Drosophila melanogaster: one gene and its partners. The protein of the gene in region 1 interacts with the protein of each later gene in a pairwise test. Each region holds a gene or a part of one and is shown in the gene's direction. Other genes may lie near its edges.

The links.
Region 2: the proteins of mus304 (region 1) and CG9519 interact in a two-hybrid assay, tested with the Drosophila melanogaster proteins (one large-scale study listed by BioGRID).
Region 3: the proteins of mus304 (region 1) and CG14655 interact in a two-hybrid assay, tested with the Drosophila melanogaster proteins (one large-scale study listed by BioGRID).
Region 4: the proteins of mus304 (region 1) and CG13840 interact in a two-hybrid assay, tested with the Drosophila melanogaster proteins (one large-scale study listed by BioGRID).

What each region holds. Positions count from the first base shown.
Region 1 is NT_037436.4:18,105,857-18,114,742, forward strand, and holds mus304 (mutagen-sensitive 304), read left to right. Parts: upstream 1-3,957; 5' UTR 3,958-4,058; coding exon 4,059-4,694; intron 4,695-4,773; coding exon 4,774-6,274; intron 6,275-6,347; coding exon 6,348-6,527; intron 6,528-6,593; coding exon 6,594-6,817; 3' UTR 6,818-6,991; downstream 6,992-8,886. Other genes in the region: mRpS26 (mitochondrial ribosomal protein S26), read left to right, coding at 806-1,014, 1,111-1,579; Polr3D (RNA polymerase III subunit D), read right to left, coding at 2,106-2,671, 2,724-2,792, 2,865-3,244, 3,304-3,536; CG32195 (uncharacterized protein), read left to right, coding at 8,570-8,886. UniProt on the Drosophila melanogaster protein: DNA damage checkpoint protein required for chromosome break repair and for genomic stability during development.
Region 2 is NC_004354.4:14,852,733-14,860,546, reverse strand, and holds CG9519 (uncharacterized protein), read left to right. Parts: upstream 1-4,185; 5' UTR 4,186-4,243; coding exon 4,244-6,112; 3' UTR 6,113-6,219; downstream 6,220-7,814. Other genes in the region: CG46399 (uncharacterized protein), read right to left, coding at 600-1,190; CG9521 (uncharacterized protein), read left to right, coding at 7,425-7,814.
Region 3 is NT_033777.3:4,775,018-4,783,439, reverse strand, and holds CG14655 (uncharacterized protein), read left to right. Parts: upstream 1-3,137; 5' UTR 3,138-3,365; coding exon 3,366-3,821; intron 3,822-4,320; coding exon 4,321-4,930; intron 4,931-5,100; coding exon 5,101-5,612; 3' UTR 5,613-5,943; downstream 5,944-8,422. Other genes in the region: Ccdc39 (Coiled-coil domain containing protein 39), read left to right, coding at 1-1,153, 1,475-2,169; atms (antimeros), read right to left, coding at 6,001-6,576, 6,636-7,602, 7,661-7,734; CG44088 (uncharacterized protein), read left to right, coding at 8,394-8,422.
Region 4 is NT_033777.3:22,811,612-22,819,031, reverse strand, and holds CG13840 (uncharacterized protein), read left to right. Parts: upstream 1-2,853; 5' UTR 2,854-2,994; coding exon 2,995-4,395; 3' UTR 4,396-4,549; downstream 4,550-7,420.

The sequences.
Region 1 (8,886 bases):
TAACTTTTCGCTTGCATCGGTATGCGTGTGTGCATTTCTGGGAGTTAACTTTTAACACTTTTAGCCTTGGCAAGAGATATATACAATATGCACTTTCCACACTGCTTCTAACTGACTTAGCTTTTCAATAACGCACACTATTTTTTTAAACACGAACACACACACACTTTCAAGGCGCGCCGGCTGCGCAAGCCACTTTTGTTTTAAGTTAGCCCACGTACAAGAGGCGAAACAGCGAAGTTCCGTAGCTCGGATTTTAATGCGGCCAGCGCGGCGATATATCGTCGACTGAGTGAGCAGTTACTTTTCGTACCTTCCCGTCAAGTTCACCTGGCCAAAAGCTTTTAAGCCCGAGCTGAGCGCAGCGCAATTGTGAGAAACGCACTAGTGCGTTGGAAGTTTGGCTATTTTCACAACAGATCTGTCTGGACTTCAAAGCTTGTATCTTTGGACAAATAAAAAACATTCATAACCTGCGCAATTTAATTGCAAAAACTTGTTAGCAACGCAAAATTAAGCTGTACCTAAAAATATATCTATGTAGCTGAGTATATAATTATATTTTAATATGAATATGTACGACAATAAATTTAGTAAGTTGACAACCAAATTACTATTGCCTTTCTATCTGAATTTGATTTGTTAAGATTGATTTATTCCTTGATTCTTCGATTTTCCATATTGGTCATCACTGACGGAACCAGCAATCGAACTGCGCGGAACCAGTTCACCGACAACAGAGTTGCACAACAGTTCAGCAGCGGCAAAGTAAAAATTACATTTTGTTAATTAAACTGCTTTTATAATGCTGCGAGCGGGATGCCAGCTGCTGACGCAGTCCACCCTGCCCACCGGGAAGACGGTCGGAAATAGTTTCGCCCTCGAGTTCGTCCGCTGGCGCAGGAAACCGCGATGGCTGCCGGTGGCCAAGAGCAAGATGTTCCGCGTGCCTGAACGCAAGAAGCAGTCGGAGGAGGAGCGCACGGAGCTCATGAGGCTACACAACCAGTACAAGTGCGTGCACCAGCGCCAGATTCTGTCTCTGGTCAAAGATAATTTGTAATCGGTTTCAAAAGACGTTATACAAAACAATCTACGCCTTGATTTCAGAACGCAGCTTCGCTCAGTGCGTCAGTTTCTAAGGGAGGAAGTCGTCCGCCACGAGGAAACATCCACAGCAGATCACATCGTGCTCACTCCCGAGCAGGAGGAGGCCGAGTTCCAGAAATGCCTGGATGCCAATGCTGCCTGGAACGCTGCCATAGCCAAGGAGCGTGATCAGCGATTGGCCAAGAAGCGTGAGGAAAAGGTGGCCTATATTCAGGAGCGATTGGAGGCACAACAGCTGCGCGAGGAGGAGCGCAAGGAGCAGGCCAACCAGCGGGTGCTGCTCGAGATTGAGCGTTCCAAGAACTATATCACTAGGGAAAACTTGGATGCAGCCATTGAGACAGCGTTGGCCAATCCCGTGGACCACAATTTCGCCATCGATATGGCCGGTAATCTTTACCACGGACGAAGCACCTCTCAGCTCCCGGACGCCACTCCCGAACCCAACCAGCAAGTTTTGAGTAATTAATTAATGCAGTGTCTTAGTTTGTTGTTACATTAAAATGCTTTTTATAGGTTTCTAACCAAAGTTGAAAGTCCGTGTTTTTTTTTATTTTTCTGCACAATAAACAACACACTTAAGTATATTTGATTTGCGCAAAAGAATAGGAATTGGATAACCTAGCTATTGTAAAGCGATTTGCTAGAACTAGAATACTTTTCAAATTTTAAGACCGTATTTGAAATTATAATAATCACTTAATTTGAACATATAATATATCAACAATCCATTAACCTAAAAATTAATCTTGGGTCATTGCATTAAGTATTGATGGCTTAATTTACGTTACATATCCCCAAGTTCCAAGCCCATCTTTCTTGGAGTCTCTTTTATGTTCCATATTCGAGTACAATTGTTAATAACCTTTTGAAAAGCATTTGTATTATAAAAATTTCTATATTTAACTTTTATATACGGCATTTAGAATAGGAATAACTTAAGCTTAGGCGCAGCCTATTTACTATATTACATATCTACCATGGGGAAGTGGGTGCTACGTGCCCGGTACTGGATTCGTTCGCTTGGATGCCGCATCCTGCTGCTGGAAAAGGTGCACCCAATCTGGAGTGGCCTTTAGTTTGGCTTGAATGGGTCCCAAGTTGATCATGTTTCCACTACGTTGCTCGCGATTGGCGGTTACAGACATGAGTTCCTGCAGAAAACCCGGATCGAGACCCATATCCAAGTCAAAGCGTGTGTCCCCCAATTGGAGTTTAACGCGACCGGATTTGTACCTCAGAATCTTGCCGATCTGCCCTTCTTCCAGCTGCCGTAGTACACTGCCCTTGGGTCCGTTTGAGCATTTGTCTGCAGGACTTGCTGGTTCCGATTCACTGGTGGCCTGATGATCTCCTTTAGACGGTTCCGGATCTTCGGAATCGTCGCCCACACATGGCAACACATCTGGCAGTTGCATGAGAAAGATCTGCGCTTCGCTGGAGTCCAGAAAGTTACCAATGGTGCGTGGGTAGCGACCGTACTGCAGCGGAGGTTCCTCTAAACTGGCTGCCTGGGCAGCCACATGCAGCTGTTGCAAATGCTGGGCCACTGCCAAAGTGTCTAGGAGCGAAATCAAATTAGATTATGCCATTTTTAAAGCTTAGCGCCTTACCCTTAAGTGTTGAGGTTGAACTGGCGATTTCTTGCTTCGCAATCGGTGTCTTCTGGGTGACCCAGAGTCCTAACGTTTATAAACAAATAAAGCATGAATTTCTTCTGCCCGTGTGCATCAAAAAGTGCTTGTAAAACGTACCCTCTTTTAGCAGGATGGGCCTGAGTGCCATCTCAGTCTTGTTAGCCTCCTCTTCGCTGAGCTCGCCGCCACTGGCGTCCGACTCGCCCAAGAGCTCCTTGATCCGCTCGGCCTGGCTCTTGTCGTCCTTGCGATCCACCCGTTTCCTGGTCACGGACACCTCCTCACCGCCCCGTGCATATGCCGTTCCATTTCCTGTGGACCTTCGCACATGAACATCGCCTGCTCCTTCGGAGAAGAGTCCCTGGGTTTGGATGAGCGTGGAGTTGCCCCCGCCAGCGGAATTTCCACCTCGACCACGTGTTGCTCCAGTGCCGTTGCCACGTCCACCTCTGCGGCCGCTCCTTGGCTGCGTGGTGTCCTTGGATGTCTTGACATTGCTGTGAATCAAATGAGATGATGAAAAGAATGACTCCCCCTGGGCCATTCCACAACTCACGCATTTTTATTGCGCACAGCATTCAAATTGGGAGCAAAGACCTTTTTGCTGGCTGTCCCAGCGCCGCGCCCACCAAGGGTCAAGTCGCGGGCGGGGGTCAGCCTGGTCATTCCGTTTAGCGTCTCCAGTGGGCGTGCACCGCCACCAGACTGACCATTATTCGTGGTGGACCCACTGGCTCCACTGATGGTCGAAGCTGCTGCTGTGGTGACCGTCATCCTCTTCGCTGGCATGGCGTTCCATTCGCGCCGCCCGTCACCTCGAAAATTCGACCGAAGTCGCTGGGTTCTGGTTTCCCCGTAAGTCCTTTAGTTTTGGGCTAGAATTTCCGCAGAATTCTTTGATTTTCCTTTGAGGTTAATGGGAAAGCTGAGTCGATACACCACATGCCGATACACCGCAGTCGATAGACTTGAGTGTAGCCAGATGACTTTGGTTTTGCTCAATATTAATCGGATTTTGAAACTGTGATTGTAGCGGGTTTCTATCGGCGCTTAAAAAAAACCAGCATAATAACAAAGAGCGATATTACAAAACTGGCTTTTTGTTGCAGTAAATCCTAATGTAGTATTTTTCTATGCAACATGGATTCGAAACATAATCTCTATTTTGGTTGGGCAAATCCATCGTTGCGATCAAATCCATCTGGCAACGCTAGTTGAGCTCTACATTTTATAAACAAAGCAAACCGGCAAAATAATCTACGACTTTCCATGGCCAAAAAGTAACGAAATATAGCGGAAACTGGAGGAACCATGGCCAAGCGCTTTTCTGCCATGAAAGACTTCGCGCGGTGCAAGAAACCGCGCCTGGATGTTAGCGTTACCCGCGGATCAGCGCGACCCAGTCCACCGAGGAACAATTTCGATGGGATTCTCTGGGACGACGATGACGATGTCATCCTGATGGCCACCCAGCTGGCGGAGGCGGAAATCGAGGCGGAGGAGCGGAAAAAGAAGGGCGGAACAGAGGTGGACATCGGCAACAGCGAGGTCACCTTCAGCGAATTTGCACCCACTTTTCAGGGCTCAACCAGCACACAGCAAATGTTTCCGCCGCCACCGCCGCCACAAAAGAAGCCTACTTCCCTGGATATGGATGCGATTTTCGCGGATGATGATGATTTCGATTTTCTGGCCGTTACCCTCATGGACAGTGAGCCACAAAAGATGCCGGAGCCGAAGACCAGCACAAGTAGGATAACTACCAGCAGCATAAGTGTTCAGCAGAAAACCACGACCACGACGACCATCAATGCCACGCAATCCCGCCAGCAGGAGCATCAGCTAAAGTTTCTCATGGATAGGATTGAAGCCCTTAAGCGGGAAAACGCGCAGCTGGAAAAGAATTTGGGCGACAGTAAGGAACGCAATGAGATCAAGTCTGGTGAGGTAGGTGGACATCGGGGTGGAACTATAACACCGATTCTAGACCTTACAGAAACTAATCCATTTATATTTATTTCTCTAGGTTTCCTTACTTCGTGATGAGCTGAAGCACTTGCGCCAGCAGCTGCAGGCTAGCAAAATGGAAAAGCTGGCTTTGGCCGACGAAACGAATCGGGATTGCAACAAAAAAGTGGCAGAAGCGGCCAAACAAATTGCGGCCAAGGACATCGAGTTGAAGATTAAGAACGCCGAGTTCTCAAAGTTGAAGACACAGCAAAAAGCCCATGAAAGAAGCATGAATTCCAGCATGAGCATTTTACAGGCTGCTCCAGATCCTTTGGAGAAACGCTTATCACTTCGCTTGAATAGGCTTAACATACACAGATCTGTGCCCGGGCTGAAAACCGATAATGGCAGTGTGTTCGAATACAGCGAAAATGAGGATCAGACTAAGAAACGAAGAAATCATTTTGAACTGGAATTAAAGCAACTGCTACTTCATTACGCTCGGCTGCAGGCAAAGCCGGAATCTGTGGATAACCTCCTGCCAAGAATACTCTCGTCGGTCGGCAAGGTATTCACGGAGTTTGCTTCGTATGCTCAAAGTTTGGACTTTCCACACAACTGCATGCTGTATCCCTACAATCCCCACAACCTAGAGGAGGAAGTTCATCGCATTTCCCTGACCCATCAGAGCTGTTTGTATGATAACGAAAAGGCTGTTCCGCTGCGTCGCTTCATAGCTACCTTGGCTTTGATTTGCCGGCGAGAGGAAAGGATTTCTAGAGGTCTCACGGAGTGGAAAGAAAATGATCTGGGACTGCTAGATATGGCTATTGAAGCTATCACAAAACTAGGATTTTCCTACGAGGTCGGCCAACACTTTGGATTGCTGGAAGCCTTGACTTCACTCCTAAATAGCCTCCTACAAGAAAATGCCCTTCTTCAACATAACGAGGAGCTACTCTTCGATCTGCTTAAGCAGTTAGTTTTTACTCGTCCCAGTCCTTGGGTTTTTGCTGAGCTTAGCTCCTGCTTTTTAAGCTGCCTTAGACATCCCCAACTTATGGATAAAATGTGTGTGAATAGTCCCAAGGACTGCTTTGTATCGGATCGCGTTCGCTCCGTTTATCGATTTGGTCCCGACTCCTGTTTACTTCAGGTCTACGCGGGCCTACTCGAGCTATGCTTCTTTAGTGAAACTCCTCTGCGGCAGGACTACTTTCAGTTGCTGCTCAAGATCGGAGGAAATCATGTGCGATTCGCGTTCGAGTGCTTCAAAAACCCACCGGATTTCATACTTGAAATGCTGCCTTACTTTGCCGACGATGGCGACGAGGACTCCAGCGATGGTACTCTGATGAAAACAGGCACCAGTCTGAGCTTCAACTCCACAGGAGCTGTGCAGGGATCGGTCTCCAATGGATCGACATCAGCGTCTGTTTCGAACCCGAATCAAAATTCAAATTCAAGTACAACGCAGCGAGGAAAAGGCTGCGAGTGCTATGTAAAGTTGTGCCTCAGTGCGGTAACAATTGTCTTCCAGGTGATGCACCAATGGATGTTGCACAGCAGGAAAGCAGGTGCGTTTGAGCTAAAAAAAAATCATTTTCATATGATCAATGACACGAATCAATATTTGTGCTTTCTATTTAGGCACCGAAGAAGTTGGCGAGATCTCCCGCATCGCAGTGCACCTTCTGTCCCTTGTCTTTCACGAGTATTACCTCACCTGTCTGTTTCGCGACTCCGAGGAGACGACCAAGCATTACCTTAGCCTCATATGCAACTGGTGGAGCGAGCATGCGAACCTGCTTGGTTTTCAGTCAATACATTGTAAATGACCTAACAACATTCCATATTTTCCGTTGCTAACTTTTTAAATATTTTCCTGTCATTTAGTGCGTTTGTTAAACCAACTGGTTAAAGCCCATTTCATGCTGAAACCCCTTCATCTGGAGGCCAAGCCCAATAATCCAGTCAACGACCTCTCCGAATGGAAACGCATTGTCAAGAATGCGGATGACCAAAGGGCTGTGAAGTCGGCTGTGACAGTTGATCCCAGCAAATTACTCAACACCGACTTCTTTAGTGCCCTTAAACGGGAGGAGAACACTTTTGAGTAGTTATAGTTAGCTTAAACGTTTTAGTAATATATACATATAGGTGTGGCGTTAATTTATTGTGAAGTTTCAAATGCTATGTTAAGAATTGAAAAGGCTCGCTGCACAAATTTAGAGCTTAAAAAACGCATTCCAAAATACAAATATGTAATGCAGCGTTTAAAGAAACCGCTAAATAATCGATTTTTCATTTCGATATCAATTTACGAATCGATAATACAAAATATTTGTTGGTGGTTCAGCTTATCGTTTCGAAGGAACTTGATAAAACAGCTGATATGGCTCAATTTAACCAGTTCAGTTTGCATGGAACTAGTTTGTAAGCGCGATGCTTTTCTTAATTTTGTAAATATTTAGATGTTTTTCAGCATTTACATTTTAAACCCGTGCTTATTGTGTATAAAATAATGTATTCTGATTAAAAGTTCAACGTGCACTTATGGTGCTTACTGCAATAAGCGTGATTCAATGCAAATGCTTATATTTGTTGATTTAATAAACATTCGCAAAGGTGGGTTCAAATAAACAAATACTTCCTTCTCACAATAATAAGAAAGTATCATTGTAATATGATCATAGAACAAAACATCTAAGAACTTTTGTTTTTTTCGTTTCACATGCATATATTTTTAACATGCATTTCTGTATACATATATATATATGTATATATGTATATATGTATATAAATATATATATGTATGTATGTAAGATGTATGATGTATGATATACGTATGTATTATGATCCTTCCCCAATGTAATCAGAAATCATTCCTTCATATGATTATACCTGTACTCGCATATACAGAATATTAAATACATCTCTTTTTACCAGTTAAACGATTATTAAACTAAACTCTTATTTATTTATTTAGCCGTTTATTTATCTTAAATGATATTTATTTCCTTATCGTTATTTTCTTTTCATTATCTTTACTATATCATCTAAAGACTGCTTAATATAGTGAGGCATATTTTAAGGAATTCATTTGTAGAAGAGCCGAAAATTGCTGAGCCTGAAATGTAATCCTCAAAATTTTTCCGTGAGGCAATCTTATCTTTATCATCTTCAACTCAAGAATATCATCACGTTGCTCTTAGCATATCTATGAAGATTTTCCAATTATCTTAACAATGTCCCCGTGTGCAAAGTTTAATTTCGACAAACTTAACCGATGGCCACTCAATGGCTCCACTTAACTAATTTTTATAAATTATAATTTTATCAAGTGGTTCAGTTAAGCCGCCGACAATTCCGCTTTGTTTGGGGTGTGCTTACCAGAACACTTTATTATTTAATTCCGCAAAACGGATATTCTCTAGATCTACACGTAGAAAAGTTTCTTCATCAGATTAATTTTATTTTTATAAAATTATATTTTTAGAATTTTTTTCTTGTAAAATTGCGAATTTAAAAATTCTAAGACTATTTTACAACATCCAAAACGTTATCTGTTTTCTTCACAAAGGGGTTAAATTGCGTTTTAAATCGAAAAACCTAAGCGTATTTACAGCGTAAATTATGTATTACATGTGACTATTAAATAAGTGAATGAAACCATTTCACCAATGTTGAAATGTACAAGATGTGAAGAATCTGAAGTGAAAAGTAAATTGTTTTCTGTGCTGATCATGCGTGCAGTGATAACCGCAAAGCTTCCAGATATACTTTTTGTAATTCAGAGATAATTTCGTAACTAGTGCACCATACATGGGCTCAGTCGGTTGGCGAGGTCTCATCTGAAAAGTCGTATAACTATGGAGCGGGAAATTTACAGTGCGGAATACTTCGAGAGAGCTTTGGCGAGAGCTTATGGTTGTGAAATGCTTCGCGTTGAGAACTTTCACATCAAGGCGGTGAGCCAGAAGGGCGAGAACTTTTGCAGCGTCATCTACCGGGTGGCGTTGGTCTTTCGCAGGTCACCCGATGGCGCTCTCGAATCAGGAAAATATATTCTCAAGGATCTGCTGCCCGCCGCCGCTGCACTGGGCACCAACGAAAAGGATATGTTCGAGGTACTCCTGCCTGCCATGCAAGCCATTCTTGAAGAAGCTCCAAAGGAGATTGGCGAACA
Region 2 (7,814 bases), on another chromosome or scaffold:
AATCAACTTCCTGACTTCATCGACTATTTCTTTTTGAACTGAGTGCACTCCATTGACCATTGATCACAACAATCGCACCACCGAATAGTGGACTTCAAATCAAATAATTGCGCACTTTAATGTGCTTTAGTGCTTGGCAAACAATAATGTTATCTGGCCAAACTTGGTCTGTGTATCTATTTGGATTGTATCTGTATCTATATTTTTATGCGTTCGCGTTGGCGTATAGCAATTATGCGCATTATGATCGTATCAAAATGTTATTCAACTTCTGTTCTGCTTTGTCATGTCAATCATCTGCAAATGAATCGATTTGTTGCGGCTCCAAAAATTCGGGGGAAGTCTCAATAATTGATTCATTTACTCAGCTTGACTTCCTACAATGTGTAATCGAATTATGGAAATCACTTAATAAAATGCAATAATATTTAAAGGAAGTAATTCTTGTACAATATTTATGCATTGGTTCCGGTTGTACATAATGTATATTTCAATTTATTGATTAAATGAAAAGACTACGTATATTTGGCTGTTTGAGATTATATTTTTGAACATCTATTTTACAGACTATTGCAATTCGGGGCTAAATGTAAACGATATTAATTAGTTGTGGAACTGTCGCTGTTTTGATGTTTTGGCGCAACCAATTTGGGCGCGGATGGATCCATAAGATGGACACTTTTTGGCTTGGAACCAGGACTTTGCCAGCAGTTCTTGTACCATGCAGTTTGCTGATGTCTCAATCCAATCCCAGTCGCAATCCTGGCCAATGATTGATACAAACTGCGAGAGAGGACATTTAGAAATCCACCAAATCTATGAGATGGAATCGAATCTGGGAGTACAAAATTTTTCAAAGGACTTGAGCTTGATGGGATACAATTCTGCTGACTCGTGATTGTGGTATTATCCCCTTCATCATCATCTTCATCATCACATAGATCATCGGTATCCGCATCGTAACCCTTTTCGGAATGACTAGGACTACGATATTGGACACTAAAGCAAATGGGATTTGGACCCAGAGTTTCAGCTGAGATCCTATTGATTTGTACGTTTTTTAAATATTTTTGTGAACAACTTGGCTCACTGTCGGAACTTGTCGAACTTGAAAATCTTCTTGATAGAGGTAAAGTCTTAGGATAGAATGTAATCCTAGGTTTACGTTCCCTTACAGCTGGTTTGTGCATTTTTCAGAGTTTTAGATGTGATATGACCAAAGTTTCCGGTTTATGCTCTATTATTTTGAAATTTTGACAGTTCTTGGTTGACCTACTCGACTTAAACAAAAGATGATTGTTCAGCAAGAAATATATACATACATATATTGATGTTAGCTACAATTTGTAAAAGGTTTTCCTTATTGAAAACTTCAAAGCAACATATTTTCCCTATATTATGTATCCGGAAATAATATTTTTTTGTGTGTACCCTCCTAAGTGACTGCCTGTAATGGCCTGTCGTAAAATACAAGATAATAAAGCTGCTGTATTTAGCATGTCGAAATAGGAAACACCCGCTTTGAAAAAATAACATGTTTAAATTAAGCTAAGAAAATGTACAAATAAGCGACGAAATGTTTTTTCGTATGCTCAGTATTCAGTTGGTGTTAAGAAATATATATATATATTATATGGTAAATAAAAACCTTGAATATATATTTTACCTTCATTCATTCATAAAACATCGAGCCTCTTAGTTCTTGCAAAAATCTATATCTCTTTTTGAACATATTTTTCAAATGTAACAAAATGCGAAAAAAAACTTGTTTTTCGCTTTAATCAGGAATGAGATCTCTTAACTGTTTTTCGATCGGCAAATATTACCACATCTAAAACATTGTCTATGCAAATTTTTCATAGTGAACGAGTTGCTTTGTCATGATGATCGAAGTCAACGCAATTAATCGACACCAACAAAACAAAAGAATGGAAAAAAAACCCATAAGACGCGTTTTATGGTTAAGTTAAGAACATTTTATGGCCAGCAAATTTTCTCAAATTCTGCCAGTCATTCGGCAGAATGTCAAGCTATCAGCTGTATCAACAGGGAAATTCGATTCATATTAAATTTAATAACTAGAGAGAAATCCTTCAGTTAAATGCTTTGGCATCCTATTTTGCCGCCATCGAATGCCATAAACTACAGCCAGTGAGTGTCAAAAAGTCACTAAAGACATGGTCGAGGCCCCAAATAAACGAATTGTCAGTCAGTGCAAAGAGCAGCTTGGCCAAAATCGGCAGTTGCCAACTATGAAAACTCGGTCAAAGACAACGAGTTTGCTTAAATTCTTGACTTTATGCGAACAGAAACACACATTTTGTTGCTGTATCTCAGCCAGCACAATACCTATCGATAGTAAGAGTCACAGCAGCATTAATTGCCGTTAGCTGGATGCACTGGCCAAAAAAAAAAACCACCACTACCTTCTTAAATGGCAACTCGAATACAGAGCTCACAAATATTGCAGAAAAATGAAGAAGACTAATCGATATGTTGATTACTTTCATATTTTTCAATAGCTTAAGAATTATAAGTTTTAATTTGTTTGAATTCACAAGAATTGTTTGCACTGCATATAATCGAATGGCAGCACAACGAACTTGAAGCCCGCGAATCGCAGACGAATTGCGAAATTGGAAGCCGCAATGCTTTTTTAGCCTTGACTCCAAAGTGTCCAGCGTATCGGCTCATTTGGGCTTGAATGTCAACGGAGATTGGTTCTGGGATGCCCTTCAGATGGTTTTGTCGAGGGTTCTTAACACTTACGAACCTCATTTGTATGCCGATCGTGTGCTCCTGCGATGATGATGATGATATACTCCCTGTGCAAACGGAATATCTGGGCGATGTCCTTCGGCAAAACATATACCATCAGAACGACGCCATTTGGGGCGGAGAACACATCAAAAAAAAAGCATTAAGCACCATTTTAATTTATTTTTATTTTGTATACATTTTTTTTTGTTTTTTTACTCTTTTTAGTATGTCATACGGTTGCGGTCGACTGGCCAAGTTTACGTTGCCAAGTAAGCCACCAAGTTTCCAAGCCGGGGGCGTATGGAGTATCTTGGAATTTTTCACAGCGTCTGCCAAACTGCCAATCGACTCTCGTGGGCTCTCCCATTCTAAGCTCACGAATATTCACATGCAAGCGGAAATAATTATAAAAATTACTTACTAAACACAAAGCTTTGCTTCAAAGAAACCAAAAAAAATAAAAAAAAAATACAAAAAAAAAAAAAACGAGCCCCATGCATAAAAACAAACATTACATGCCTCCGAATCCATTCACCATTTACTAGTAAGCAAGTACAATTAGAAGCGACTACTGATCGTTTGCCCAGTGATTATTTGGAAACAAATCAATAAATTAACAAATAAATAGTTTAGATGAGTTAATTACCATTTGCCAATTACCATAAACCTTTTAGTAATACTCTTGCCATTCTTGGTGTCTTGAGTTTATAATGTTGGGTTTATTTCGTAAATGAAATCCTATTGGCATATTTGCTTTTCAAATTTACGTTTTCCACTTTTGTCATGGTATATTTATGGCTATATTTCATGGTTCTATTTATATCATTTAAACACTGCCATTACACTTGGCAACCGCAATATTTCGTAAAATTTTCCATTTACATATTTCTTATAATATTATTGCTATACCGGATATAACTTCATACCCATATGGTTTTGCAAGCAATTAAAGTTCAAGATATTCTGTTATTCCCCCTATGAATCCTATAATAATCAGTAGCTCTGATGTAATAATTATACCAGTCACTATTTTATCGTCACCTCCAAGTTCTAATTTCGTTGTTATTTTCCCTTAGCCACAACGCATCGAAATGATTATTAGATCAGACCCCGTTATTAAGCGTTTTCTATATTCAGCACACAATTTAGAATATACGATACCCCGCGAATCATTTCATTTGTGCATTCGCACTGCATTTTGGCTGGAATGTTAACGATCATTGGATCGATCGATCGATCAATTGTACAATTGTTCTTCCACACATACTCTAAGTTTCCACTGTTGTTGGAAAATATACAAAATAAGTCTCGAACTAGACTTATAGTTCGGACCAAAAGCCGTAATTGTCAACAGTGCAGGGCCCCCATGAGTTTTGTAGTTGCATTTACCCCCAGCCTCTAGGTTTTAGTTCTGCTCTTAGAACTCAACGTTCCAGTCGATCGCGGCAGTCGAGTGAGTCTGGCTGCAAGGTGATGAAGCTCCATGATGACTTCGCCACGAAATCACATCGGAACCCTTCTTGTCGTCTGGCTACTGGAGTTCTCAATGGTGATTAGCCAGACTGACACGGGCAATGCATTGATGGATATGCTCGAGATCTATCGTCGCGGTCAGGCGCAATTGGATCTGGAGAATCTGGACGAGGGTCAGGTCATAACGACGAAATATGATTTCATAGTGGTTGGTGCCGGCACAGCTGGTTGTGCCCTAGCCGCGCGACTCTCCGAGAATCCCCGGTGGCGAGTGCTACTCCTGGAGGCCGGTGGTCCCGAGAACTATGCCATGGACATACCAATTGTGGCGCATCTCTTGCAGCTGGGCGAAATCAACTGGAAGTACAAAACGGAGCCATCGAATAGCTATTGCCTGGCCATGAACAACAATCGCTGCAATTGGCCCAGGGGCAAGGTGATGGGTGGCAGCTCGGTGCTCAACTATATGATGTACACCAGGGGCAATCGCCGCGACTACGATCGCTGGGCACGTTTGGGCAATCCGGGCTGGAGTTACGAGGAGGTACTACCCTATTTCAAGAAGTACGAGGGCAGCGTAGTGCCGGATGCCGATGAGAATCTGGTGGGACGCAATGGGCCGGTGAAGGTGAGCTACTCGGAGACGAGGACTCGCATCGCAGACGCCTTTGTGGGAGCCACCCAAGATGCAGGATTGCCGCGAGGTGACTACAATGGAGATAAACAGATTCGTGTGTCCTATCTGCAGGCGAATATCTACAATGAGACCCGTTGGAGCTCCAATCGAGCGTATCTGTATCCCATTAAGGGAAAGCGTCGAAATCTTCATGTGAAGAAGAATGCCTTGGTTACCAAGATCTTGATTGATCCGCAGACGAAATCGGCATTTGGTATAATCGTCAAAATGGATGGCAAAATGCAAAAGATTTTGGCCAGAAAAGAGGTCATTCTATCGGCGGGTGCCATCAATACACCCCAGCTACTGATGCTCTCCGGCGTGGGACCCGCTAAACATTTGCGGGAGATGGGCATAAAGCCACTGGCCGATCTGGCCGTTGGCTACAACCTCCAGGATCACATAGCTCCGGCTATCAGCTTCTTGTGCAATGTGAGTTCGCTGCAAACGAGCGAGATGTTCCGCTCGGAGGCAATGTCAGATTTCCTGAAGGGACGCGGAGTGCTCCGCATACCGGGTGGTGTGGAGGCCATATCATTCTACGCCCTGGACGATGCACGTAATCCCGATGCTTGGGCCGATATGGAACTCTTTGTGGTGGGCGGTGGTTTGCAAACGAATTTGGCCCTACGTCTGGCATTGGGCATCCAATCGAATATCTATGAGACCATGTTTGGCGAACTGGAACGCCAGAGTGCCAATGGCTTTTTGATATTCCCGATGATTTTGCGCGCCAAGAGTCGCGGTCGCATCAAGCTGAAGAGCCGAAATCCCGAGGAGCATCCACGGATCTATGCCAACTACTTCGCAAATCCCTATGACATGAACATCACAGTTCGCGGCATCGAGCAGGCAGTAAGTTTACTGGATATGCCCGCATTTAAGGCAATCGGTGCACACTTATTAGAAAAGAGAATACCCAATTGTGCGAAATATAAATGGAAGAGCAGCGCCTATTGGGCATGTTATGCACGACACTTTACCTTCACCATTTACCACTATTCAGGAACCGCCAAGATGGGTCCTCGATCGGATCCCTCGGCGGTGGTGGATGCCCGACTGCGGGTCCATGGCATCGACAAACTGCGCGTTGTGGATGCAAGCATTATGCCCTATTTGATCTCGGGTCATCCCAATGGACCCGTCTACCTAATAGCTGAAAAAGCAGCCGATATGATTAAGGAGGATCATAACTTCGTATAGAGCAAGCACACTATGTTTTCTTAAGCCGATGGGTTATCTTAAGATATGTATATAATATTATTCCATTGAGTGATTTCTAGTGAATTAAAGACGATACAATACAGTACAAACTCTGATAGTTTGTTCTATCAGTTCTTCTATGTTCAAAGTTTTTAAATATCAATAAAAGAAAAATTCAAATTAAGAAAAGGGTAATAGATAAATGAGAACTTTGTTGTCAATTTGTCGCCATTAAAAAGAAATTACAATAACATTGATTTATGATTCTTTCGATGATATTTCAATTTGTTTGCAAATTATACAAAATTACACAGAGAAACAGCAAATCAATTAGAAATTATTGCTGGTTTGTCATCAATCTTAAATGAAGCCTAAAAGTAATGAAAGATTCGATTATTTCCTGCATTTAAACCTAAATTTTACAGGTGTAATAGGTGTACAATAACAACTAGTCTATAAAAAGATTATTTTACTATATTTTCGTTGGCATAAATAATAAATATTTTTGATAAGCATGCTGCTTAATATAAAAAGCTGAAGTAACCGATAGACATTTAGAACTATAAAATTCTATATTATGTACATAATTATATAAGATCTGGTTTGACATTTAGCCAGAGACATCGGCGACAGGTTCATCGAAGAACCCCGCCCGAATTCTTCTGCTAAAAAGAAGAATCACGCAGAATCACGATGACACTATGCTAATTACAGTAGTCCAAAATCAATCGATGAGGATCTTTTAACCAGCGGTTTTCTAGCCATGGGAGGCCCTTTAATGTTTTGACACCACGGCTTCCGCATCTTATTCACAGTTGCTAACGATCTCGTCGATCTGGCTGGCTTAAGTCAATGTCAAAAACTACAGATACATTTTCAGTTTCCAATTCAGATTCAGATCGTCCGAGCTTTCAATTTTAAACCGATCTTCGTCTTTGTGTTTGTCTGCGCAGATGGTTGTGAACGTGTCCATAGTCAAGTCTTCCGAAAGATTTGAAGATTCTTGGCGAGCCGAAGAAACCGAAAAACCCGAAAACTAAAAACCGAGTGCCGAGAGATTCGCAAAGCGATCGTTTCGTTCGCCGATCGCCGCCGAATTTAATATTAAATTGAACTTGGCCACCGCATTTGTCAGCATTTCTAGTTACGTATTCGATTGGGCAACACGCTCGCGATCGCGTCGATCACAAGAACTCAGAACGCGTTCGTCTATCATATCCAGCTATATTCATATATATATATTTTTTTTTTGACTGTGCAATCGGTGTGAATAGTGCTGAAGAAATCGTTACAAGTAACTAAAGGCCCAATAATGGCAAGCAAATCGCTGATATTTGTAGGCCTGTGCCTGGCATATATGGCCACATGGAGTCAAATTTCTGCCCAGAATAACAATAACGTCCTTTTCGAGACGATCAACTTTCTGAGACGCGGCCAGGCGGACGTTGAGCTGGAGAACTATGACAACAATGTGATACTGGATAGCGAGTATGATTTTATAGTTGTCGGCGCCGGAACGGCTGGTTGTGCCCTGGCCGCCCGACTCTCAGAGAATCCGCAGTGGCGAGTGCTGCTCCTGGAGGCCGGTGGTCCCGAGCGACTCGTCATGGATGTGCCAATTGTGGCGCATTTTCTGCAACTGGGCGAGATGAACTGGAAATACAGGACACAGCCATCTGATCACGCCTGCCTGGCGATGAAC
Region 3 (8,422 bases), on another chromosome or scaffold:
CGCGATGAGAAGGCCAAGGAGCTGGAGAACTTCGCTTCGGTGATGGAGAAGGTTAACGCTCGGCTGAAGTCTGTACAGAACAAGGCCCTCAATGCGGAGCAGCGGCTGCAAATTCTGGAGGAGATGATGCAGGCGGAGGAGACGGCTCTGCGAAACCTGGACAAGGAGCAGGAGAAGGTCAACGAGATGTTGTACCGCACCCAGAGGCAGGTCATCGAGCTGCAGGACGAGGAGAAGGTCTTGAAGGTGCAGAACGACTCGCTCAACTCCAACCTGGCAGCGATCAATCGCAATCAGCAGCAGGTCAATAACGAACTCAAGCGGCAGACGGAGATCCATTACAGCCTGTCCTTTAAGTGCTTGGAGGCGGAGCGGCGTCTCGCCGAGATCAAGGGTCTGGCAGATGACCCCGAGGTAGAGGCCACAAACATGGCCCGGCTTAACACTCTGGAGCAGGAGTATGAAAAGTTGCAACGCCTCATCGCCACCACGGAGGCGCAGAATAAGAAGCTAAACTATAACATGAACAACCTGGTCGTCCAGTACAACGCCGACGAGAAGGAGCTCGAAATGGTCAGGTTCAAGATTAAAGAGGCCCAGGTGTACTGCGAGGGCACCGTCAAGAGACTGCGCCAGATTCGATACGAGAATTCCGAGCTCATAGTCGACCTCAACATGGTCAAGATGCGCTGCAGCGACCTAGAGGTTGGCATCGGAGGCTGCGAGCAGGGCACCTACGACCTAGAGCAGCACCGCCTTGCCTTCCGGCGCGCCATCAAAGATCGCACCGTTGAGCTTCGCAGCCAAGAGGATGTGCTCCTCCTCAAGAAGAAGCATCTTAACGAGGAACTAAGCACCCTGCGAGCCGACCTCGGGGAGCGGAAGAAGCAGATTGAGGCGATGAAGGCGCGCTTTGAACTTACCGCCCAATTGCTAGGCAAAAACGAGGACGGCTCCATCATGACCAGCACACAGCTGAAGGTGGTGAGCGCCCAGGAACGGCAGATGCTGGCCGACGAGGGCGATGCCCTCAACAAAAAGGTTCTCAAGGCTGAGAAGGAAGTGGTCGCCCTGGAAAACACACTGCGCCAGTTCGACAAATCGAACGATAACTACCGAAAAACATTCCGATCTGTGGACGAAAACTCAAAGGGTGAGTTATAAATGACCATTCAGAGTGGAAAGGGTTACTAGTATTAGCAACATTGCTCTAATTTTGAATTTTAATAACACTCACAGATACAGATATTGAATAGGAACAAATTAGGTTTTCTGGCTCTATAAAGAATAGATATTCTTGATCAAGATCCATACCTGAGTCGATCTGGCCATTTCCGTCCGTCCGTTCCGACTTTCAGTAACTATAATAGCACATTAAGCGGTCATATTCTAGCCATGTCTACAAGCCGGGTGGCTTAGAATTGTGTAATTCAATGTTAAATTGGTAGATTTTTTCCATACTTCTAATTTCTAGATCGCGAGCGGGCCGAACTGGAGCTGAAGGAACTTGAGGCGGCCTACTGCCGCGAGCTGGAAAAACTGAAGGTTCTCAGGTGCAAGGCACAGCACTACCAGCAGAAGCACGCAGCCCAGCGAGCTGAGGAGGAAGACCTGATTTCCAAAATAGAGAAGGCGAAGGCTAGTCGGGCGGAGCACTCTGCAGTTCTGGAGAAGATCGAGCGCGAACTAGATGACCAGCGAATGAAGCTGGACAGGGCCAATCGAGAGATCCGGACACAGTTGCGGGAGATCAAGGCGCGGCCCTTTAGCGAGGAGTACCTGGCGCAGTTCGAGCGGGATCTGTCTCTACAGGAGCTGGAGGCGCGTAACACCAAGGCGCTGAACATGATCACCGATCTGGCGAACAGCGACGAGAGCGGCACGGATATAATTGGAATCCTCTTGCGAAAAGGAATCAAGTTGCCGATGCACCTGAAGCGCACGTGCAGCCGCGTGTCCTGGAACAGCAGCTCCTCGGGCAAGTCCTCGCAGGGTCAGGACACCGCCTCCTACCTCAATGTTAAGGGCAAGAAGTTCTCCTGCGACGGGGCTAGTGCCCGGTCCTCCGTCTCCGACATGAGCTCCCTTAAGGATGACACATCCTCCACAACCTCCCACTCCGGACTGAGCATCATATCGCTTGAGTTGCCCTTGCCGAAGAAAAAATAATAGTCTAAAATATATTTATTTATTATTCCGTTCGATATCCGATGATCTCAACCCGTATGCTCGTATCTTCACGTGTTGGCATCGCAGTGTTTACAAATTGACCATCTAAACGAAACAGCGAATAAAATGCGTTGCCCAAGCGGGTCAAAACAAGAGAGCATCGCGGCCATAAAAATAGCACACAGCGATTCAGTGGGGGTATAGCTCGGTGCACATACACATAGGCGGACAAATGTGTGTGTCTAGGCGATTGCTTGTTTAAATCGCTGAATAGTAAATACTCTACAAAAGTATTACACAAAATATGTATATTAGCTACCACCTTTGGTGTGGGTTTTGTATTGGTTTTGATCAGATCTCAAGTAAGCTCATTACAGCATTAAGATTTAGACGGATATGCTAATTCAATCTGAAATACTCAATCTTCGTATTTTCCTAATAAAGAAATATATATAATAATAATATTTTCTCAGTTCTTATTTACGAAAATGAAACGAATGATTTTCACTGGTCCGAAACTAAAATCGAAAGAAGAAATCTCCAATAAGAGTACATATTAATGTGTTTACTTTTTATGGAGTGCTTAAAAAATGGAGCGACAATTGCAGTAACCAACCATATTCCAATTGGATATTGGCGGAAAAGCCAATTATTAAACCAATCTGGCGATAATGATAGATCTCTAGATAAGTCCCGCAAATCGCATGTGGTCATCTCAGCGAATTGCTCCTGCGCATCGTGCGTTACAAAGACTAGAACGAAGGCTATATGGCCGCCAGTGCAACATATATCGGCCAGAAATAATTCTACATACATATAGTATATAGCCGTGCTCAGAGCTATATTTCGAAATGAGCTACCCAGAGACACGGAGAAAAGAGACTGCCTTGTTCGAGAGATGGGATTTCGGTGCTGCGAGTGTTTCCGAAAGTCTTCTTGACGATTCGACGATCCGCGCCGGGCATTTCATTATTTTTCATTATTTCGTTAGCTGGCATCGGTGCCGAGAAGTCAGATTGCTGGGCCCAAAGTTTTCAAAAATCTTCACTTGCTGATATTTTTAGAAAATTTTGAAAGCAGAAAGACTAGGCAGTCTGGGAATGGACTCCTGAATAGATGATCACAGACCGAACAGGAGGATAATCCCAATAGGAGGTGAAGCATTTGCATAAGATTCGATTGAGTGCACTGGCGAAATGTGTTCCACCTCGGTGCTGTGTCCGCTCTGCGCGGTGCCCAGTTTCGGCAGTATTGACGCACTGCAGCAGAGGCTGATCAAGGCGGCCAACGGCCCACTGGCCTGTCCCTTTGCCAACTGCAAGGAGCTCTTCCTGGGGCTGGACAAGCTCACCATCCACCTGTTCTCGCACACAAGTCTGATGGCTCAGGAGGGAAACGAGAGTCCAGCGAATGGCCAACCCGCCTCGTCCCGGGGCTTCCTTGCCGCAGCTCCTCCCAAACGGAGGGCCAAGCGAACCAGGTCCAAGCCCGTCGTCCCAACCCCACCGCCTGTGCGGACCACCCCGCCCGCCCACTGCGACATTTGCGAGTTCAGTTTCCGGAATACCGAGCTGAGGGACATGCACGTCCGCTTAGTCCACGAAAATGCGGAGGGAGAACCCAAGCAAAAGGAACCCCAACAGAAGGAACCGGTAACTATTGGCTATGTACATATATTAAGTGCTATTATCTAAAGAGTTTCGTAATGCACTTTCGCATATTCTTATATCGATTTTGATTTTTTTTTTCTATGCTCACTGGCAGCAAAAAAAAATCATACTTAAAAAGCTAGACCATTTACATTGAATCTGAAACAAAAGTTTGACGTAATTAAAATCAACAACAACAAGAAAGAAATCTATATACCCTTATATTTTAAAAACAACTGATGTATGTACGTATATCGTTCCCATTATTTTCAATTAATTTTTCAACTGTTCATATGACTATGTATATATATGATAGATATTAATTTGTTTTTGATCAATTTAAAACCATGGCAACTTTGTGATATAGTGAATGAAAGTGAATGATTTTTGTGCATAAATTTGAAACTGAGAGACAGACGGTAATGTAATGGAATATTTGGCCATGAGGGCATATTGATGAATTGATAAATATAAGTGAAATTCCGATTATTGCTTTATACAGGACCAGGAGCCCTACAAGTGCCATCTCTGCTCCAAGACGTTCCGAATGAAGGGCTCCCTTCGAATCCACCTGAAAGTAGTGCACATGATGGGCGTGCCCTGCTCCAATCCCAATCCAAATCCTAATCCCAGTCCTACACCCGCTTCTACCACCAGTGCAGTTACTGCCACGCCCAAGCTGAGCATTTGCGATCGCATTCGACACACAGAGCCTGGAGCCCTTGGCAACGGAAATAACTCCACGTGCACCGCATCCCAGCCATACGCGCTGAGTGGGGCGCTGAGCATGCTCCAGCAGTCCCCCAGTTCGCCGGAGTCGGGCACGGCCACCCCGAAGCTGTGGGAGTGCGATGTGTGCAGCAAGTCCTTCACCACCAAGTACTTTCTGAAGAAGCACAAGCGGCTCCACACCGGCGAGATGCCGTACACATGCGAGATCTGCGCCAGGACCTTCACCTTCCAGCAGTCGTACCACAAGCATTTGCTCTACCACAGCGAGGTAAAGCCCCATGTCTGCGGGGTTTGTGGACGCGCCTTCAAGGAACTGTCTACGCTGCATAACCACCAGAGGATTCACAGCGGCGAAAAGCCCTTCAAGTGCGAAGTCTGCGGTGAGTATCGATCAAACCCCTTAATTAGCCGCCCCTTATTTTGTTAGCCAGCTTATAAATGAGCATACTCCATTGCGATTTGCCCTATTTACTTTAAATGAAGGAGAGGTATACCTTCTTTTCCGGGTCACTCCATGTCTAACCTTTTCGTATTTCGGACTCGTCCACAGGCAAGTGTTTCCGGCAGCGAGTCTCTTTCCTTGTCCACACGCGCATCCACACGGGAGTGATGCCCTACAAGTGCGAGCTCTGCCAAAAGACGTTCAGGTACAAGGTCAGTCAAAGGACCCATCGATGTCCCACCGAGGAGGCCCAGACACCGGAGCAGCTGATAAAGGCGTTCCTGGAGGGCAACGACTCGCATACTCAGCCTTCACCAGCGAGCGCCGAAATAGCTGCCATCAACAGCAGCTCCATTGTGGATCCTGAGCAGGAGGCACTGCTTTCGCAGTCAATCGACGACATTGTCGTTGAGCAGTGCCAAAAGCTGGGCATCTGTGGTGTGGAGCCGCGGGAGGAGGGACAGCTCATATCCCTACAGCCGGTTGCGGTGGTACACTTCAGCGGGAATGGCTCTCCGCTGCAGCAACTCCAGAACTTGAGAATCTACTCACCGCAACAAACAGAGCTACCTAGTTCCGATGGCGAAGTCTTCCAGCGCTTTTTGATGGACGCCACGTAGTTGGAACGAAGATGCATATATCCACTTAATTTATACCCTTTTATATCATTTTACATTGTTTGCACTTCCCCAAAGGCGATCTAATCAATTCCTAAGCACCCCCTAAGAAAAACGTCTTAATTACATCTTCTTATGAGGATATTATTTGAATCTTAGTTGTTTTATCTCAGCCAAGTGTAAATCGACTAGGACCCGACTTGTTTGCAATACAACAACAACATCTAATATAAATTATGTTAAACTGCCGATTTTATTTAAAACTATTCTGGGCAACGAACCCGAGCGCTGAGTTGAGGCGAAAATGATATTAAATCGAGTTAGTTCAGTTTTCAAATGTACTTGGTTGATTATAAACTTATTTATTATGAACGCCGTTTTTTGTAATTAATCATTCATCTGAGGCGCTTCCAGAGCTGGATCCTGAACCAGAAGGCGAGCCACTGCGAGACCGGCTGGGCGATCGCGACCCAGAGCCAGATCTGGAGCCCGAACGTGATCGGGAACCGGACTTGGATCTCGACCTAGAACGCGACCGAGAGCCGGACTTGGAACGGGATCGGGAACGTGATACCGATCTCGATCTGGATCCGGATTTCTGGGATCCTGCCGGCGAATTTGTGCGTGATCTGGAGCCGCTACCAGACCGAGAACCAGACTTTGAGCGGCTGCTGGCCCGAGAGCCGGAGCCAGATCCAGATCCTGAACTGGACCCGCTGCGAGTTCGACTCCGAGAACGAGACTGTCGATCGCGGGCTACCTGGGCGGGTGAGTCCGCTCCAGATGCTGCCTGTGCGCCAACAGCTGCGTCCTCGCTCGTCTTCTCCGTCTCGCCAATGATTTGCATTTGCTCCTCTTCCCTCACTTCTTCCACGATCTCCTCCTCCTCGCCAGGAACTTCTAGCTGGCGCTCGCGATAGCGCTGCATACGATGCTCCATGCTGTCCAATGGACGATGCTTGACAACCTGGTAGAAATAATACAAAGTAAAGCTCGCTATAGATGTATGCGCATAAATATACTTACCAGCTTGGTGTTGTTGGGTTGCTGGCCAACCTTAACGCGACGCTTGTTAAGGCGCACACGGGTTTCTAGCTCGTTGTAGTAGATGCCGTCCTGACGCATCACGAAGAAGTAGTTTTCTTCGTAGCCCTTGGAAGCTTTGGTCTTCACGTTCCAGTTGTACTCTCGAGCGATCTTGTACTCGTACTCCTCCTCCTCCTTGTACAGCTCGCCATTGATGAAGTCTGTACGGCGTTTCTCCAGCGTCTGCTCTGTGGGCAGGAAGTAGGCGACAAACTGTTCGCCGCTCTCGTCCATCACACCACGAATCATGGCCTGCGACATCTCCTCCAGCTGGGCGGGCACGTTCTTGCCCGCAGGAGCGGGATCACTGTCAAATATGACCTGGGCGCACGGGAACTTCCAGTTGGTGAAGTCGGGGAAGATAGGCAGTACCTCCACTGGCACCACATTGGGCTTGGAATAGTGCTTGGTAATTTCGCTCTTGGTGTCGCTGAAGGTCTTCTCGATGGCTTTGATCTGGGCTTCGCGGTCCAGGTAGAGAGTCTCCTCCCGAAGCGACTTCTTGACGTTGTAACCGACCTTGGCCTCGATGTTCTCCAGGTTCTGGGGCTGGAAGCGCGTCTGCTCGGTGGAGATGTACTCGGATTTGCGCAACCATGACACCGTCCTCGAATGCTGGCGCGAACGCACAGAGTCTGTGGGCGTCAGAGTCTCCTCCTCCAGCAGTTTTTCATCGGCGGGGTCCAGCAGCGTCATGGAGTCGGCCTGATAGAGCTCCCGGTTAATCAGGTCCACCGTGACACCCAAATCGTGTTCCGTCAGCACGTCATACTTGAAGTTACGCTCTAGCGACGTTGGGTTGTACTGCACGAAGCGGTGGCTGTCGAAGGGGTACTGCAGAAACTTCAGATCAAATGGTATATCCGGCAGGTTGTTTCCATACTTCACGCGGCAAATGATCTCGGATCTGCAAGGTACACATCAGTCTGAGTATCTGGCGTCTGTTTAGGGATCTGTTCACTTACTTGCGCTCCGTTTGCCGCTGGGGTCGCTTTTCGGCGGCACTGTTTACCGCCGAATTGTTGATCGTGGGTGGCATTGTGTCTTCCAACAGGTAATTCAACTCAAGCCCCAGTTTTGGTAGCGCTTCTAGTCCATCAAGAGGCCAAATCTAGAAATCCTCAAATCTGCGCTTGGCAGTGTGACCGTACTTGACCGGTACGATAATACCTTCGGTAAAAAAAATACTATATTTCCGGGGACTCAAATGCAACATCCTCATCGTATATAACACAACATCTATTTGAATTTCATTTCCACAACTAATATTATGGATAATGCTTTATTATCATTTTCCAAGTTAGCGATAAATCACCCCACAAGCTGAAAAATCAACGTTTAAAAACGATTGATATTTTTTTTAATACTTTTTGGTTTTACTATTTGAATTTTTGTATACTTTTAGATTTTACTATTTTAATTTTTCGTTTCTTCTAGCTGACTAACGGGTAAAAAAGGATCCGATCCTGATTACGAACGGCTACCAGAAATGATTAGTATATAAATGATATATGTATATAAAGTACTGGATAATAGAAAAGCTCCCACAATGCTCCCAAAAATGCTCTCAGTGTTTGTTCGAATTTATCGCCCCATCATCCATAAGCCATCTAATTTCCAATAAGTCACAGATCATTATCGCTGTTTATTTTCATTTTCTTTCAATAATATCCAATCTATATCTGTCTGTAACGAAACATGTCTAGTTTCCTTTTGGTTATTTTCAT
Region 4 (7,420 bases), on another chromosome or scaffold:
AACGTAGCACTGAAAAAAAAGTGTAGTAAAGATTTTATAACTATATTTACAAGGCAAAGGTTCTTCATAAAAAGAAAACTTTTGTAAATGCAAAAAAGCATTGTAGAGTAAAAAACTTTTTTTTTTAATAATTTACCTCAACTTTCTAAAATTTAAATACTGTTTACCTAACTGAACTATCTGCATATCAAATGGCCTATAATTTGATTAATCAAACACTATAGTTACCCTAAAATGCTTTTTAGCCAGCTTTGATTGGCATATTTCATAAATTCATATGCATATATAAATATCTCCATAAAAAATGCAATAACGAAAAAGGGTAAAAAAAAAATGCGCATTTCAAATTATAAATTCAAATTCGAAGAATTTAATCACGTATACGAATTTTTCCTGTGCCACAATACGAAATAATAAAAGTGCCTCAAAAACTTTGAGCCCCTGCCCCGCGAAACCAGGACCGCAAATTGTTTAAAACAAGCATTGAACAAAAAACTCAAGAAGCAACACAAACAGGCGGCTCAATTCCAGGAATAAAGCCGAAGGACATTGAATAAACTGTACGGTGAGGAGGTATGAGTGGGATGTGGGGACGGTAGGGCAATGGGGGACGACACTTGGCATTAGGGCCCAAACTATACAGCCAAGGCCAAGTTTTGGGCCAAATCTTTGTGGGGAGTGGACCAACAAACGAGGACGGAACGACCATCGGCATCGACGGCCGAAAGGCAATGGAACCGTAAATTCTATTGCATGACTTGATTAAATTCGCATGCAACGATGACCGTCGACCCCGAGTCACCCACAACATCGGAGTCCGCCGTATCCGCCGAAGCCTCTGAGTCCCCCATTAAAAAAAAAAAAACCCACCTCCGAGCGGGTCAAGCAAAGGCCAGCGACGTTGCCAACTATGCCATAGCTGGAATTTCTTGGCTATTTGCTGGCTGCCTTGGCTTCTGTTTTTGCTGGCTGCTGGATTTTTGCCTTTCCTTCGACCGTTTTCTCATTTTAACGTTTTAACGTGACTTAATGAAGTTTCAGTGTCACAGCAAAATCTGCTCCTGCTGCTCCTGCTGCTCCTCTCCGCCTGTTAATTTTATGATGGATTTTATGCAGAGCGCGCCAAAGAAAACTTTGAACTTTAATAAGTATGTGTATGCAGGCATTTAACTTTGCCATCGTTTTGTCGATTTTTTCTACTCACTTTTTTTTATTTTCTGTTCTTTTTTTTTTTAGTAGATTTTTTTCTTTACACATTTTGGCCATGTTAAGCTGGGTGGCTAGCTGGCTGGCTTCTTTTCTATGGGAACTTTGCTAAAATATGCTTCACAGGGCTTGAAAGCATTTGAAGTAATGAAAAAGAAGCGAAAAAAATTGCATCCAACAAGTATAACACACACACTCTCGTTCCAGGTGATATGGATGGGGAGGTTTAACTGTACAGTGAAGCTGCGCAAAATTTAACGAAGCTTAACCTCATTCAATGTGAAAATACACTTTACTTGTACTTTGCGCTGTTATTTCAAAAGTGCGGTGACGGTGGGCGTTGCTGCTAACGCCGCTCTAAGGGGGCGTGGCTAAGGTGGGTCTATATATATACAAATATATATATATATATGTATATAGAGAAAGGTGGCGATGCGAACCTGGTGAACTTTGCAAACTTAAATGCAGAGCAGAATGATGAATGATCCAAGGATGCCAGGCTAGCAACGAAAAGAACTCGCTCTATCTCCGTTTTTCGCCGACTTTCCCTTGATTTCCCGCCAGAGGCAACTACTCGCAGAGAAAATCACAAATATAAGATTAAAATCGGAAAATAACACTACAATACTTTAAACGAACTACGAATGGCAGAAAACACAAAAATGGTAACTAAGGTATAATATATCTATGTATCACATATTAAATGTATCTTCAATTCTACAAACCTGAATATAGAAATATTATAATCTTATATCAACTATTTTGCTGAGTGCACTATAAAATCGCTGAGAATGCTATTCCCGCAAAGGTTCTTTAAAATTGAATCACTTTAGACCCAAAGTGCATTGTCAGCTTTGAGTGAGTGAAGGCGTGGCTGGTAAATTATGCAAGAGCAACGATACCAAATGTCGTCGAATGCATCCAGATGAAAATTGAAAGTGCTGCAATCCGAGATCTCAGACGCGTTTCAAATCTCCGGCGATTGCACTTGGCAAAGACCGGACCGCAAGCACATGAAGCGCACGTCACCATTTGTGCAATCAAACATCGGAATGGCCGCGACATTGACCGCAAGCTGCCACACAGTGTGAAATCCGATGCGGCTGGGAGCCAACCGGTGCACAGTGGTTACAGCTATGTTGAAAATTATCAAATATTATGCTAGCTTAAAAAGGAAGCAATATTTATGCACTCAAAACAAAACTTACTTAATTTAATAACTTCATTTTTACCATTTTTATCACATCCACAATAGATTTTCTTTTTTAATTTTTGAGCCCTATTAGACCACAGTGCATAGGTCGATGTGCATTGCGGGCTAGCAATTGCGGTATAGCTGCGTATTTTGTGATTGCGAATTGTGCGGACAGCGGATCGCCGCCTCACTTGCATCTGAAAGGAACAACCAGAAAGGGACTATCTGGAACAGTTGGTGTGTGCCGCCGAGTGAAAGTGAGTGCCTGGGCATGGGCTTCCACTTACACAATCCATGGTGGATTGGCCAATGAACTTGAAGTGCCAACGAGGATATCCAATTACAAGTAGAGCGCTCCAAGCATTTGAAGAGTGTGTGTGTGCTATAAAAACAGCATCGCGATGTCACAAATTTGCATTTCAAAGCGGAGCAACACCCACGCCAGCTGCATCCAAACACGCACTCCGTTGGCGGATTGGAACAAAGGATATAGGACACAGGAGTTCAGGATTTCAGGACACACACAACCACCCAACGTTATGGGGCGGCCAAAATCCGGCCAAGGCTTTGGGTCACCTGCCACCAGTTCATTAATGATCTATGCATTAATGTGGCTCGCTTTGGCCATGACAATGGAGGCCATAGATGCCCCACTGCCCCTATCCCTGGCGGAGTACCCGCTCGGCCTGTCGCTGGAACATGGCAGCAAACACCATTACCAGGATGCGGGTGTGGACTCGTTGCCGGGATTAACAGGATATACGCGAAATTATTATGGCCCCACTGACACTGCAGCCGGCGATGACTTGGCAACATATGGAAATTATGCTCACAAACTCCTGGCCGCCACCCATCAACAGCACCATCGCCATTCGCAATCCTCCCTTGGCACCACGGCCAATGGCTTTGTGCCCTTCTACTACAACAGCAAACTGCACTCGCCATTCACCGCGGATGAGGAGCCGCGTCGCGACCCATCCGCCAATATCGATTTTGTCATTAATACGGCAAATTATGAGCCAAATTCCGCTGGCTACGATGTGGAGCCACATCATGGGGAGCAGCACTACGAAAGCTATGCATATCGGCCGCGGGTGCAGTTTGCCACATCGCTACCCGGTCCCAGCGATTACCATTTCGAACAAATTTCCAATTACCGGGAGAATCGCCAGCGGGAGCAGGAGGTGGAGCAACATCAGCAGCAGCAGCACCAGGAGCAGGAGGATATTACTAGTATCTATGCGCGGCTCAAAGAACTCCAGACACCGGCCAATCCAGTTAAGCGTCAGCAGGAAGAGTCCCTATCGAGTCATCATCCAAACCGGGAGCAAAGCCAGCCACTGGAGCAGCGACATTATCAGCAACCTGAAAGCAGACAGCTGCAACAGCCACACTTGCAACAACATCTGCAACAAAAGCGGCCACATGCGCTGCAATATCCTCAGGATCAACGGCATCACCAGCGCCTGGGAGTTGCCCAGGACCAGCAGATGTTGTACTCTCACAAGGATAGCCAGATTGCAGATCTCCCAGCCATAACCACCAGTGTGCACCATACTCCGGAGAGCAGTAAAGCGGTAGCCGGATTGCCGTTGGCCAAGCACATCGAGATCACTAAGAGTGTGCCCATCACCCACTATCAGAAGCAGCATGTGCCCTTCAAGCAGAACGTCCAGGTGCAAGTGCCACGAACCGTGATCGCAGCCATACCCAAGCCCATGCCCATCAAAATACCAGTGGCCCAAACGGTGGCCGTGCCCCAGATGCAAGAGGTTAAGATTCCCATCGAACGGGTGAAGCCGGTGCCCGTGGAGCGGCCCATTCCCTTTGTGGTTGAGCGCAGGGTACCCTACCGAGTGGAGAAGCCGGTGGTCTCGCCAGTTTATTATCCGTATCCGGTCAAAGTGCCAGTGGTGCGCACGGTGGTGCACAAGCAGCGCCCCCACTACGTGGCACCCGGCTGGAGTGCCAACGGCAATCATCTGCTGGGATGAGTCTATCTTAAGAATAAATTCTTAAGCCAGTTTTATACCCTTGCAAAAGGGGTTTTTTGATTTGTAAAGTAAAAGTACAAACTGTAGGGTAGTCGATAAATATATTTTTGGTGGAATGTTCTTAAGTTGAATTAAATACATTTATTAATTTTTCATGTTATGCAGTTTGATTAACGGCTAGAGTATTTCAAATTCAGCTTATGCCTTAATTTCTAGTGACTGAACCCCAAAAAGTAATTGCAATTAGCAAAACAAGAAGACAAAAAAGGCCACCGACAGCAACTGCAGTGTGGCTGCAAAAGCATCCAGCATGCAACTCCTTGATCCCAAATCCAAGTTTCTAACTCCCAGTTAACAGCTACCAAACAAAACAACACATTCGGAGTCGAAGTTGAAGTTGGAGTCACAGGGCAGGTCCCAAACCGAAATGAAGAAAAGTAGCCGAGTAAAACTTTTTAATTGAGCTAAAATCCAACAAATGCGGCTAATAAATATGTATTGAAGTGCGATGGGCAGAACGAGGCTGAAGTCCGGTTGCAATGCAAAAGGGGGCTGCAGCGAAAGTGCAAGAAAATGCAGCGGCTAATTGCCAAATGTAACTCCAGTTGAAACAACTTTTAACTGAAACAGCAGAAGGAGCAACAATGACGCACAAATAAACGCGACGTTCAACTTCGCCGAGGCGTTAACGAAACAGCAACAAAATTAGCCAAAAAGTAAAGTTCCAGCAAGGGTCGCGAAAAGTCGGGCCAGTAGTTTCTGGTTGGGGAAAGTGCTGCAAGTTATTGCCGGCTAATGAAATTAGCCCTAATTGACGTGGGAGCCATTCGACTCCATTTTTAGGGAGGCGAAGTGAGGAAGAACTCCGCACCCACCACACACAATATATGTAATATTCGGCAGCAAAGGAGAATTTAAGGAAAATGTTTGGGGAAAAATGAGTTCAAAGATTTGGGGTTTAAAGCGCTTTGACTACTTACTTAATACTCATTACTCAGCCACCTAGCGGTAGACCAACAAACCTAAGCTTACTGAGTCCTTCTTTTTCTTGGGAAAATTAAACGTTGGAAAATAGTTGCATTACTTTTCTAGCTGTGTACTAAATTTTGTAAATTCAATTCGTTGCAGGCCACATTATTAGCATTTATAAGCCACATACCTATGCTGAGGAAAACCGCAAAGCGACGGAAACCAACTAAAAATCAAATATAATAAGCATGCGTGCAAATCAACGCTTTTCCGTGAATCCCGCTGCTACACATGTAGTTGTGCAGTGGGTATGCAAATAGTAAATGGCGCTTGCAGCCGAATAAATGTGCATAAATTCATAATTGCACTGCCCACATTAACCGCTTCGTTAGGAATTTTGCTCATCTGACCACTGGCCACCACAGCCGGCGGCCGTTGGTCCCGTTTTCTGGCCACCGTAGCCCAAATCCAGTGTCTAACGTCCGACATCCAGGACTTCCCACTTCGCAGGCCAATGACAAAAGCCACAAAACGCAATGAACATGGCGCTCCGGTTAGATAGTTGACCGCGAATCTGCTGATGAGTCCCTCGTTTGTGCACATGTACCCTTTAACCCCGTAGCCGTTTAAACCCATAACCCTTTAACCCTGCCGCTGACATATACACATGCACATGCCAGATCAACAAATTGAATGCGATTGGGTGACAAACGACTGGGTAAAATCACCGGTTTCGATTGTTATAACACCATAGGCCAGTGGTCAGTGCATAGTGATTGCATTTTATAAATATTTCATTTCACTATAATATACTCCTAAAGCTCAGAACACAATGGAAATAAAATCCAACCAAAGTAAATATATTTCTTTGAATTCGGTTTTTTGTAAAGCCCCAATTAAGCTCTCAGCATTGAATGTATGACGCAAATATAATCACATGATACATCGAGATGACAGAACCAAAAAACCGAAAGCTCTTAAATCAGCGCCACACTTTGGTCCCTCCGAATTTCTCGAAAAGGGCAGCAAAATGACTTTATAATTTCGAAAATGACTCTGCACTTTCGAGCAGGTAACGTAGCAAAAGGGGGCTAAGAGCAGCACGACGACAAAGATAAACATTAAAAATTAATCAGCACTTTTGGCTCAAACTTTGATAATTGCCGGGTGGCCAAAATGAAGCCAAGAGCGTAAACAGCTACAAAAACGCTCCACACAGCATTAAATGGTCAGAAAAACGAGGGCGCCAGACGGGGAGTCCTTTTGAAAAATGACAGGCAACCGACCATCAGTTAGCGCGGAAAAAGCAAAGTTTTAACCCTTTTGTGCGGGCCACCTCTGTATACCCATTTTGGCCAAAAGTTCTGTATACATTTTTGTTTGTGAAATTGATGTGCATCATAAAAATTTGCGACTCAGGTGGCAAGTTGTTACTTTTGATGTGCAATGCGGCGGACTTAAGGCGTCTTTCTTGATCATTTTAATTGAGGGCCCCCAAAATATGTTTCGTAGATACAAAAGAGTTAAAAGTGACAGTGTACAGCGGGGCGTATGAGTGATATTTCATGTACGCCACTTAATGGACGCTTGGCACCTTAAACTCACTATCCGTTTGGCTCGTAAAGCAGAAATGCCTGGGTATATCTTTTATGATTACCATAAACTATTTACACAGAACTTTAATAATCTCGTGCGTGCAGCAGCAAAATGTTTGCAAGTATTTTATACGCCAAAGGATTTATGTCGAGTCACAACATCCTGCAGGATCGTCTGGTGTTTTGTGAGCTATACACTCGATGTGTATGTGGCTTGTTTGTTTTGCTTTTGCCGGCTTTTTGCCAGTGTCTGGTGCTGTTGACGCTTTTTACTCACTCAACACCCCCCACATCCACCAATGCCACTTCCCCCACACCAGTCCCCCCGAAAAAGCAAAAGTTTGCCAACACAAACAGCTACTCAGGCGTATAATTGCCATTAAAATGCGCTTAAAATGAGCTGAGAGACCCTCAAAACGAGCTGGTTTTATCGGGCTCAATACGTGGCAATGGAGTACTGT